Arabidopsis thaliana: one gene and its partner. The protein of the gene in region 1 interacts with the protein of each later gene in a pairwise test. Each region holds a gene or a part of one and is shown in the gene's direction. Other genes may lie near its edges.

Evidence for each region.
Region 2: the proteins of AT1G68220 (region 1) and ARAC1 interact in a protein complementation assay, tested with the Arabidopsis thaliana proteins (one large-scale study listed by BioGRID).

What each region holds. Positions count from the first base shown.
Region 1 is NC_003070.9:25,568,197-25,572,472, forward strand, and holds AT1G68220 (aerobic coproporphyrinogen-III oxidase (DUF1218)), read left to right. Parts: upstream 1-1,895; 5' UTR 1,896-2,125; coding exon 2,126-2,218; intron 2,219-2,299; coding exon 2,300-2,508; intron 2,509-3,062; coding exon 3,063-3,366; 3' UTR 3,367-3,537; downstream 3,538-4,276. Other genes in the region: APRR6 (pseudo-response regulator 6), read left to right, coding at 1-1,106; AT1G68230 (Reticulon family protein), read left to right, coding at 3,989-4,079, 4,159-4,276.
Region 2 is NC_003071.7:7,737,985-7,742,780, forward strand, and holds ARAC1 (RAC-like 1), read left to right. Parts: upstream 1-1,802; 5' UTR 1,803-2,328; coding exon 2,329-2,427; intron 2,428-2,620; coding exon 2,621-2,708; intron 2,709-2,797; coding exon 2,798-2,907; intron 2,908-3,006; coding exon 3,007-3,070; intron 3,071-3,544; coding exon 3,545-3,609; intron 3,610-3,700; coding exon 3,701-3,766; intron 3,767-3,856; coding exon 3,857-3,958; 3' UTR 3,959-4,296; downstream 4,297-4,796. Other genes in the region: VPS35A (vacuolar protein sorting-associated 35A-like protein), read left to right, coding at 1-20, 266-334, 409-489, 593-700, 790-893, 966-1,079, 1,159-1,360. UniProt on the Arabidopsis thaliana protein: Inactive GDP-bound Rho GTPases reside in the cytosol, are found in a complex with Rho GDP-dissociation inhibitors (Rho GDIs), and are released from the GDI protein in order to translocate to membranes upon activation.

The sequences.
Region 1 (4,276 bases):
ATAATCCAGCTTACAATATTCTTTCTATCGATAGCTCTAGTATCGATAGCTCTAGCTATACTGGTTTAGTTTCAACTGGCTTAAGTAGTGAAAATTCTCCTATCCTTTATGGTTTACCATCGAATGATGGTGCATCTAACACATGCACATCTCAGATGGAATCCGAAAGGATTTCTATTCCGCAGTATGATCCTAATCAATGTCACCCACATAGATCCATCCTTGAAACTGATGTAAACCAAATAGATTTAGATTTTACTTCTATACTAGATTCTTTCGATCCTCTAGTAGATGAGTGCCTTATGAAGGAAAACAATAGATTTCTTCCAAACCCTACCATGAACCTTTTGGATACCGATATAGACAAGATGGATTGGGTTTCATTTATAGAAAACCTTAGTCACCATGATATCAATATGAACCATATGGATTGGGATCCTTCAACAGCAAATTACGTTCTTCCTGAAACCAACATGAACATAAATTTTCCTGAAAAACATACAAACGAGATAGGTTGGGTTTCTTCACAAGTAGGTTATGTTCCTTTTGAAAATATGATTCCCTCTGAAGTAGATATAAACCATATGGGCATGGGTTATTCTGGAGGAAGTATTCCCCCTCAAGAAGAAACTAATACAAATAATGTGGGCTTTGTTTCTTGTGAAATACATAGTGAAATCCCTCCCAAAACTAATATGGCCATTCTAGAAACCAATTATTCAAATCCGTTAGATTGGGTTTTCCCTGAAGATATAACTTCACTCGAAACCAATACCATCCAAAAGAGTTTGGTTTCTTGTGAAACAAGTTACGATGCTTTGGATAATATGGTTCCTTTGGAAACCAATATGGAAGAGATGAACGATGCTCTTTACGATATTTCGATTGAAGATCTGATTTCTTTTGACATTGATGCCAATGAGAAGGATATATTCTCTTGGTTAGAAGACAATGGTTTTTCTGAGGAAAATAATATGATGGAGTCATGCGAATATCATAATATAGAATCTGTGAATCAAAGTGATGATATGAAGATAGACGATAACTTTGATGATTATCGTGAATGCATGGATTGGATTAACGAAGAGATGAATAAAGATGTATGAATAATGGTGAAAAAGGAGAACAACAAGATTAAAAGTAGTTTATAAATTTAATATGTTTTTGTATAATGCATATTCATATCATAAATATAGATGTATGTTAATCATAAACAATATGTATGAGATTCTAAAAGTTTTTCAGGTTCTTAATCGTACCATAAGTTTTCTTTTTTTGTTAATTTGTTTCTCAGTCTTTAATTAAAATGTAGTCAAACACTTTTAATTTGACCAAAGTTAGTATTTCTATTAAAATCAGTTCTAATAAAACTTATGACCAAGTAGTAGATGCTCTAGTATTGATCCTAAATCTAATTTTTTATTTTTTTTAAATAATAGTTTACTACTTTACTTCCAAAATTATAGTCAATTGTCATTATAACTATTATCATTGAAATATATTTTTGTCAACAAATATTATTTACTATAGATAACCACGAACAAGGCATCATATCTGTCAAAGAAGCATTGGCATGACTTCATGTGCTCTCTAAAATTAAAAGATATGTTTTGTCTCAATTGACATCATATTATTTTTTGTTACGTCGTAGTAATTTAATGACAAATTACTGAGTCTTTGATTTTTAGCAAGGTCGTCTTCCAACTATGTTTCTAAATCTAATCATGATTTCGGGGTTTGAAGGCAAAGGATGGAGCGTGCAAAGTCGATTTCTTGTTGTTCTGATGCTTGAGCTGGTGGTTGTGCTACCACTTAAAGCTACAATATGTATAAATATACCCATTTAATTACTTACTCTTAATCAAATATCTCTCAAAATTTCTCCACTAAACATTTGTAAACCACATCCAAAAAATAAAAAAAGAGTAACCAGATATAATGATTAGATGGAGACACTTTGACAATTAAGTCATAAATATTAGTGTTCAAAATTCTAAAAAAAGAGAAAAAGAGAAAACAAATATCAGTGTTATAAGGACACTTTAACGTTTCTTCACTTGCCCAAAGCTCTCTGAAGATAAAAGACAAAAGAGTAAAGAGAGAAAGAAGCACGAAAACCAAATCAATGGCGGTTTCAGTTTCAATCCTCACCGTCGTCACTGCTCTTCACCTCCTTGCTTTCGTCTTCGCCTTCGGTGCCGAGCGTCGCCGTAGCACCGTACCCAATTTATCTCTCTCTTACTAAAATTTGTCATTTTTCCGATTTGTGTTGTGAATTCGTGTTTTCTTGTTTATTCAGGCTGTGCCGGTTCCGGATCAGTACGATGAGAAGACTATTTGTAAGTACGGAACTGAGGCGTCGACAGTGTACGGTATGTCGGCGTTTGGGTTGCTTCTTGTTAGCCAAGCGGTGGTTAACGGTGTTACTAAGTGTCTCTGTTTTGGAAAGGGTCTTGTTACTGGTACTTCTTACACTGTCTGGGCTATTGTCTTCTTCGTTGTTTCTTGGTAAAGTTTATTCCTTTACTCTCTAATTGAATCTTTTGTACATCAAGATTTGAAATTGAGTTGATTTAAGTGGTATTTGGTAACCAAAATTTGAAATTTCTGATTAGGGGCTTTTAAGTTAGATTTGGAATGAACTAATTTGTGATTTGATTGTGTATATTTATGGGTTTTAACTTTGAAGTGAAAAGGAAAGTTTTTTCCAACTCTTTTCAGTATTGTGAACATGAAAAGTAAACACTTTTAGATTAGTGGGTATTGAAATTTGGTTATGTGATTTATGATTAATAAGTCACTTTGTTGCAAACTTGACTTCTTATTTACGTCCTTAACTCTTACTTGTGAGTTGTGGATGTCTCTATCTAAAGACAATGATAGTGGTAGGCTTCGTCATGGTCACAATTGAATATTCTATATGTTTGGTTTTACAGTTTGTTATCTTACCAAACTATGTGGATTCTATAAGAAAAGAAACGACCTTACAAGAATAAGAACTAGTTAGTTCATCTCTATGTTTGAGTACGTTTGTCTTAGTCATTGGTTTTGTGTATCTTTAGGGTAAGCTTTTTAGGAGCTGAGGCGTGCTTGTTGGGTGGATCAGCGAGGAACGCGTACCACACTAAAAGTGAAGGCATTTACAAAGGGAAAGAGCTTTCGTGTGCCGTCTTACCCGTTGGAGTCTTTGCTGCTGGAGCTGCTTTCACTCTCATGTCTTTGATTGCAACCATTCTTTACTACTTGGCTCATTCTAAGGCTGATACTGGCGGATGGGAGAAGCATCAGAACGATGGCATTAACATTGGTATGACCACTCCTTCAGATGCTCCAAAGCAACAAAACACCGAGTTTAACAAGGTCTAAACCAGTTTCTGTTTGGTCTTATGTTGGCTATGCTTTTAAAAACAGGGTAAAACTATAAAAAAAATAGTTGTTTGTTAATTGTCAATATAAACTTGTGTCGTCAGATATAATGTTGGCTTATGTATGTCTATGAGAAATTTGGTTTGGCTCAGTCATCATCTTAGCTTCCCACTTGACCTCATCTAGATTGTTATCATCTGCTAAAAGTTTAGACATGAAAACAATATGGGCACATAATGGACTGGGCCTACGAAGAGGCCCAATGATTGCATTCCTAACATATCTAGCCTCAACTTGGAATATACTTGCATGGGAAAGGGTTTAGCTATGATCAAAATGTTGATAACTTTTTGGAATACATTTTTGATCATTAACTCAAGTTAAGAAAGATTCTCTACAAGATATAAAACTAATTTATTCATGTAGCAATAAAATGATGAGTTTTTGCAATATGCTAAAGCCATACCTTTCCTGTTTTTTCTCAAATCGCTTTCTTCTTTATGAATCCAAGAACAAAACCGTTCTTATCCTAAAAGTTCGGAACTATATAATAAACCATGAATCTTAGACCTTAGCTCACAAAAAAGGCCACAGTTGTTTCAAAACCTGAAACCAAAACAAAATGGCGGTTTTTGGATATGAAATGGATGAACATAGAGCTTCTTCATCGAGACGACGAAGATCTTTGTACCACAATCTAGGAGGAGGACGATGTAACATATATTTTTCTTTCCGTTTTCACATTAATTTTGGTTCTTTTTCTAAAGGATTTTTCTCTTGAAATGCTTGTAGTTGCTGATATAATGTTCTGGAAGAACAAGAAAGAATCAGGAACAATCTTGGGGGTATTCACATTGATATGGTTCTTGTTCGAAGTGGTTGAATATCCTTTCATCACTTTCCTCTGCCA
Region 2 (4,796 bases), on another chromosome or scaffold:
TATTCCAATTTCTAAATCAGGTAAGTTTCATAACTTTTCACTGCCTTGTGTGTTCAGATCTGTTTTTAGGTAGAACAATGTGTCTCAGAGCTACATTACTTTTTTAAAACTTAGCCAAAGTTAGTTCATACAAGCTGATTGACAACGTTGAAAATTCTCAATCAACAGTTTGTAGATATTAGCTAAAGAGACTGCTGTTATTGCTCTGTCTCCACTACAGTCATCAGTTCTTGTATTTATTGTTGGATTTTTTTGCTTGTTGCAGATTATCGAAGCGCTACCTAATGTTCCATCACCTGACCTGGCATTCCGGTTGTACTTGCAATGTGCTGAGGTAAAACTACGTACCTGTTTATTTAGTATGCACTTGCTCGGTAAAATGCTCACAGATCTTTCCTATTTCATCAGGCTGCGGATAAGTGTGATGAAGAACCAATTGCATACGAATTTTTCACCCAGGCATACATCTTATACGAAGAAGAAATTTCGGTTAGTTATGTTTTCGCGGACGTTCATATGTCTCGTGTCTAAACCAAAGCAAGTAGGTGAGTTTAACTCTCTCTCGTGCGTCAAAAACTTGCCTTTTGAACAGGACTCAAAGGCCCAGGTGACTGCGTTACAACTTATAATTGGAACTCTGCAGAGGATGCAAGTATTTGGTGTTGAGAATAGAGATACATTAACGCACAAGGCTACGGGGGTATTTCATCATGATATGATAATTAGTCTCTTACCATATTCAATTGTCTCTGCTTAAAGGCTGACAAGGGAAAACTTATACTCTTGCAGTATGCAGCGAAACTTCTAAAGAAACCTGATCAATGTCGAGCTGTTTATGCCTGTTCTCATTTGTTCTGGCTGGAAGATCGTGAGACCATACAAGATGGAGAAAGGTAATACTTTCTTCTGTGCGATAGAACACAGTGTGTTTAAAATAGCTCATTAGGTTTCTTACTTGAAATCAGGGTTCTACTTTGTCTGAAACGAGCGCTTAAAATTGCAAATTCGGCTCAACAAGTGGCCAACACAGCTCGGGGTAGTACAGGGTCTGTTACCCTCTTCATCGAGATACTAAACAAGTAAGCGCTTTTTATTGTTTGTTTTACTTCTCATTTTCCCAGATCAGCAAGCAGCATTATGTAATGTGAATTATGGCAGGTACCTCTATTTCTATGAGAAAGGGGTTCCACAGATAACAGTTGAATCAGTAGAAAGCCTGATAAAACTGATCAAGAACGAAGAATCGATGCCCTCTGATCCATCTGCTGAATCATTCTTTGCAACTACGCTTGAGTTCATGGAGTTCCAAAAGCAGAAAGAGGGTGCCATTGGTGAGAGATACCAGGCGATCAAAGTATAGAATCTCATGTTGGTCAAAAGAAGTCGGTTTGTTTTTATTAAAAAAAAAAAAAGCTTTGCTTTGAGTCGTTTGAGAATCGGAAAGGGACTGATATTGTGTTGCTTGCTGCTCGAAATGTAAACCCGGGTTTAGGTCTAGTTTTATTCCTCGGATTTTCAAGGCGGTTCATGGTCTGTAACTTGTGGAGTTTGATGTGTGTTTATACGAATCTTTAGTATTCTGAGTTTAACATTGGATATTACATATTAGATAATGTCCTTCATGAAAAAAGTATTCATTTTATGTATTCTGTTGAATGATTATTGACGCATAAAAACATTTTCAATACCATTGTATAACGCATAATTAACAACCTTTGTGAGGCTTCAGCCTTCAAATATATCAATAGAAATTCAGTTTACGAAATCAACTTAAAAAATTTTGAAAAAATAATAAAATTTAAAAAAAAAACAAATTGTAGGTTAAATTTTTTTAAAAACAAAATAAAACAGAAAAGAAACGAGAAAAAAAAAAAGCAAAACAATCGGAGAAAGTTGATGGAGGAGATTGTTCGTTTTGTGAACGCTTCAATGGCATAAATTTCCGGCCATCACATTTCTTCTACTTTCTCTTTCTCTCTCCCTTGTTGTTGTTCTCTAGAATTCGATTCATCGTTGTTAACGTCGTCCATTCTTCTTCTTTGATCCCTTCTTTGATCTCTCACATTTCCGATTCCAATTTAGGGTTTCCTCTCTTTTCACATTTCTAGGGTTTTTCTTGTTCCCTTTGTACCGGAGATGGTGAATTGAAAGGAAAAATAAAACGCTTTTGAGAGCTTATATTTGAGGTTGTTTCCTCAGGTTTTGTAGATCTGAGGTTGCTATTTTTGAATTAGAGATTCTTTTTTTTTTTTTTCAAAATTTTGTTTGTTGTGATCATACATAGACGTACGTAGCTCCATTTCTGGTGGAGAAGGAAGAAGAAGAGAAATGAGCGCTTCGAGGTTCATAAAGTGTGTCACCGTTGGCGACGGAGCTGTTGGTAAAACCTGTTTGCTGATTTCTTACACCAGCAACACTTTTCCTACGGTATAATGTTCCTTCCTTAGATTGAATCATATTCTGTGTTCTGTGAATTACAAGCTTCAAAATTGTCTTCTCTATTGATTGATGAGACCAAAGCTTGTGGCAATACATGAATCGATCCATAATTTTTTTTTGGTGTTATGAGGATTTGTGGAGCTTTGTATCTCATTGAATCTTGTAAATTCATGTGGAACAGGATTATGTACCGACTGTTTTCGATAACTTTAGCGCAAATGTGGTTGTTAATGGAGCCACTGTGAATCTTGGGCTATGGGATACCGCAGGTACTGACTAAATAATAGGGATCTTACTTAGTAGTAGCGGCAGCTATGGGATTTGGGGTCTGAAACTTTTGTTTTGTTGTTGTAAACAGGGCAGGAGGATTATAACAGATTAAGACCTTTGAGTTACCGCGGTGCTGATGTTTTCATCTTAGCATTCTCTCTTATCAGTAAGGCTAGTTATGAGAATGTCTCCAAGAAGGTACGTTTTTGAAATGAATGTTTGCTACAAGTTTTGATATGAATACTCTGAAGAAAGTCTTTTGGTTGTGATTTTTGCTGCTTTATCTTCGTTTTGCAGTGGATCCCAGAGCTGAAGCATTATGCCCCTGGTGTCCCTATAGTTCTTGTTGGAACCAAACTAGGTAAGCTCGTTTTTTGACATATATGTCTGCTAATTTGATTTGTTCACGTCCAAGATATATCCATGTAGTACCTTTTAGCTCTTTTGTGTCTAGCGGAAACTAGGCCTGGATTTTGGAGTATCACAAATCCTGAAATAATCTAGGTTTACAAGCTTGTCTGTGATGTTTCGTCATCATTTTTAATGAATTCCGCGATACGTTATGGATCATATCTCACATTTTCTCTTGATAGTTAACCTCCATTGTAAGAGACAACTACATGCATGTAAGCAGCTGTTGGATGTCTAGCAATTATAAACCTAATAGAAAAGGCTTATACAAGATGTTGTGCCAAAATTGGTGTAACGGATTCTGTTTCTTACTTTTAATACCAATGCTTAACTTTCGGCCTGCTGTCTGATCCGTCTAGACCTACTTTTAATAGTTATGAGTTTCGTCTGGTGCTTATGTTTTGTGTTTCATCATATATGCCAGATCTTCGGGATGACAAACAGTTCTTCATTGACCACCCTGGCGCTGTACCAATTACTACTGCTCAGGTAAACAGAATTTTTCTTTGAAATGTGTCAATTTACTTAGCCTGTTACTTAAACGAACCCTTTTAACCGTTCACCACTTTGGGCATCAAAGGGAGAGGAACTGAAGAAACTAATTGGAGCTCCCGCATACATCGAGTGCAGTTCAAAAACACAAGAGGCAAGACACAAAAACTTTCCCTTTTGTTTTGAGTACTACTCTGCTTCTTTACTTAGCTTTTCTCAAAGCTTTTTTTTAATGAAATTGCAGAACGTGAAAGGAGTATTTGATGCAGCGATCCGAGTGGTTCTTCAACCTCCAAAGCAGAAGAAAAAGAAAAGCAAAGCACAAAAAGCCTGCTCCATTTTGTAATTTCTCTACGCTTCTCTTACGTATCTCTCTCTGTCTCTCTGTCTCTTCCACTCTTCTAGTGAAGGCTTAAGAAGAAAACACATTGGGCTTAAAAATTGTTCCAGAGTTCGTTGTGATAAGCTCTCTTAATCCTTAAAAAAACGATTATTTCTGTTTATTGATGAATAGTTTCCAGCTTTAGCTGAGACCTAATATTGCACTTACCACTTCTCTATTCTTCCTTCGATTTCAATGACTAGTTGAAGAAAACAGAGATGATGGATTTTCCACTTCAACTTTACTTAAGTCTACTAATTTGAACATATTACTTGTTCTCATTCTTCCAATTCTAATTTAACAAATGGTGCAATTTGGTATATTTTATTGTCTTGAATACTTCATCCAAAAAATTGTGATGCATATAAGTCTTTAAAAGTTCTGAATGTTTCAGTATTGTGATACAAAAATCAGAATTTTGCATTCAACTATGCCAGTCATTACCTTCTTTAATATATTTTCTTATAAATAAACCTCTCAAACTCCACTTCTCATCCATCACACAATCCTCAAAACAAGAGAAACAAACCCAAAAACAGAGCAATCTCAAAAAGATGAAGCTGCTCTCTTCAGTCTTCACCATGCAACTAGCCAGCGCCTCCGTTCTTACCTCGTGTAGAACAACATATAAGTTCCAAAAAAAAATAGTCATGTTGCTAAACGATGCCATTTCACAACATGCACTTCATTTCGCTTTTGAAGTTTAACTGACTTGTGAAGAATTTGAACAAATGGCCCATTAGCTCAGTTGGTTAGAGCGTCGTGCTAATAACGCGAAGGTCGCAGGTTCGAAACCTGCATG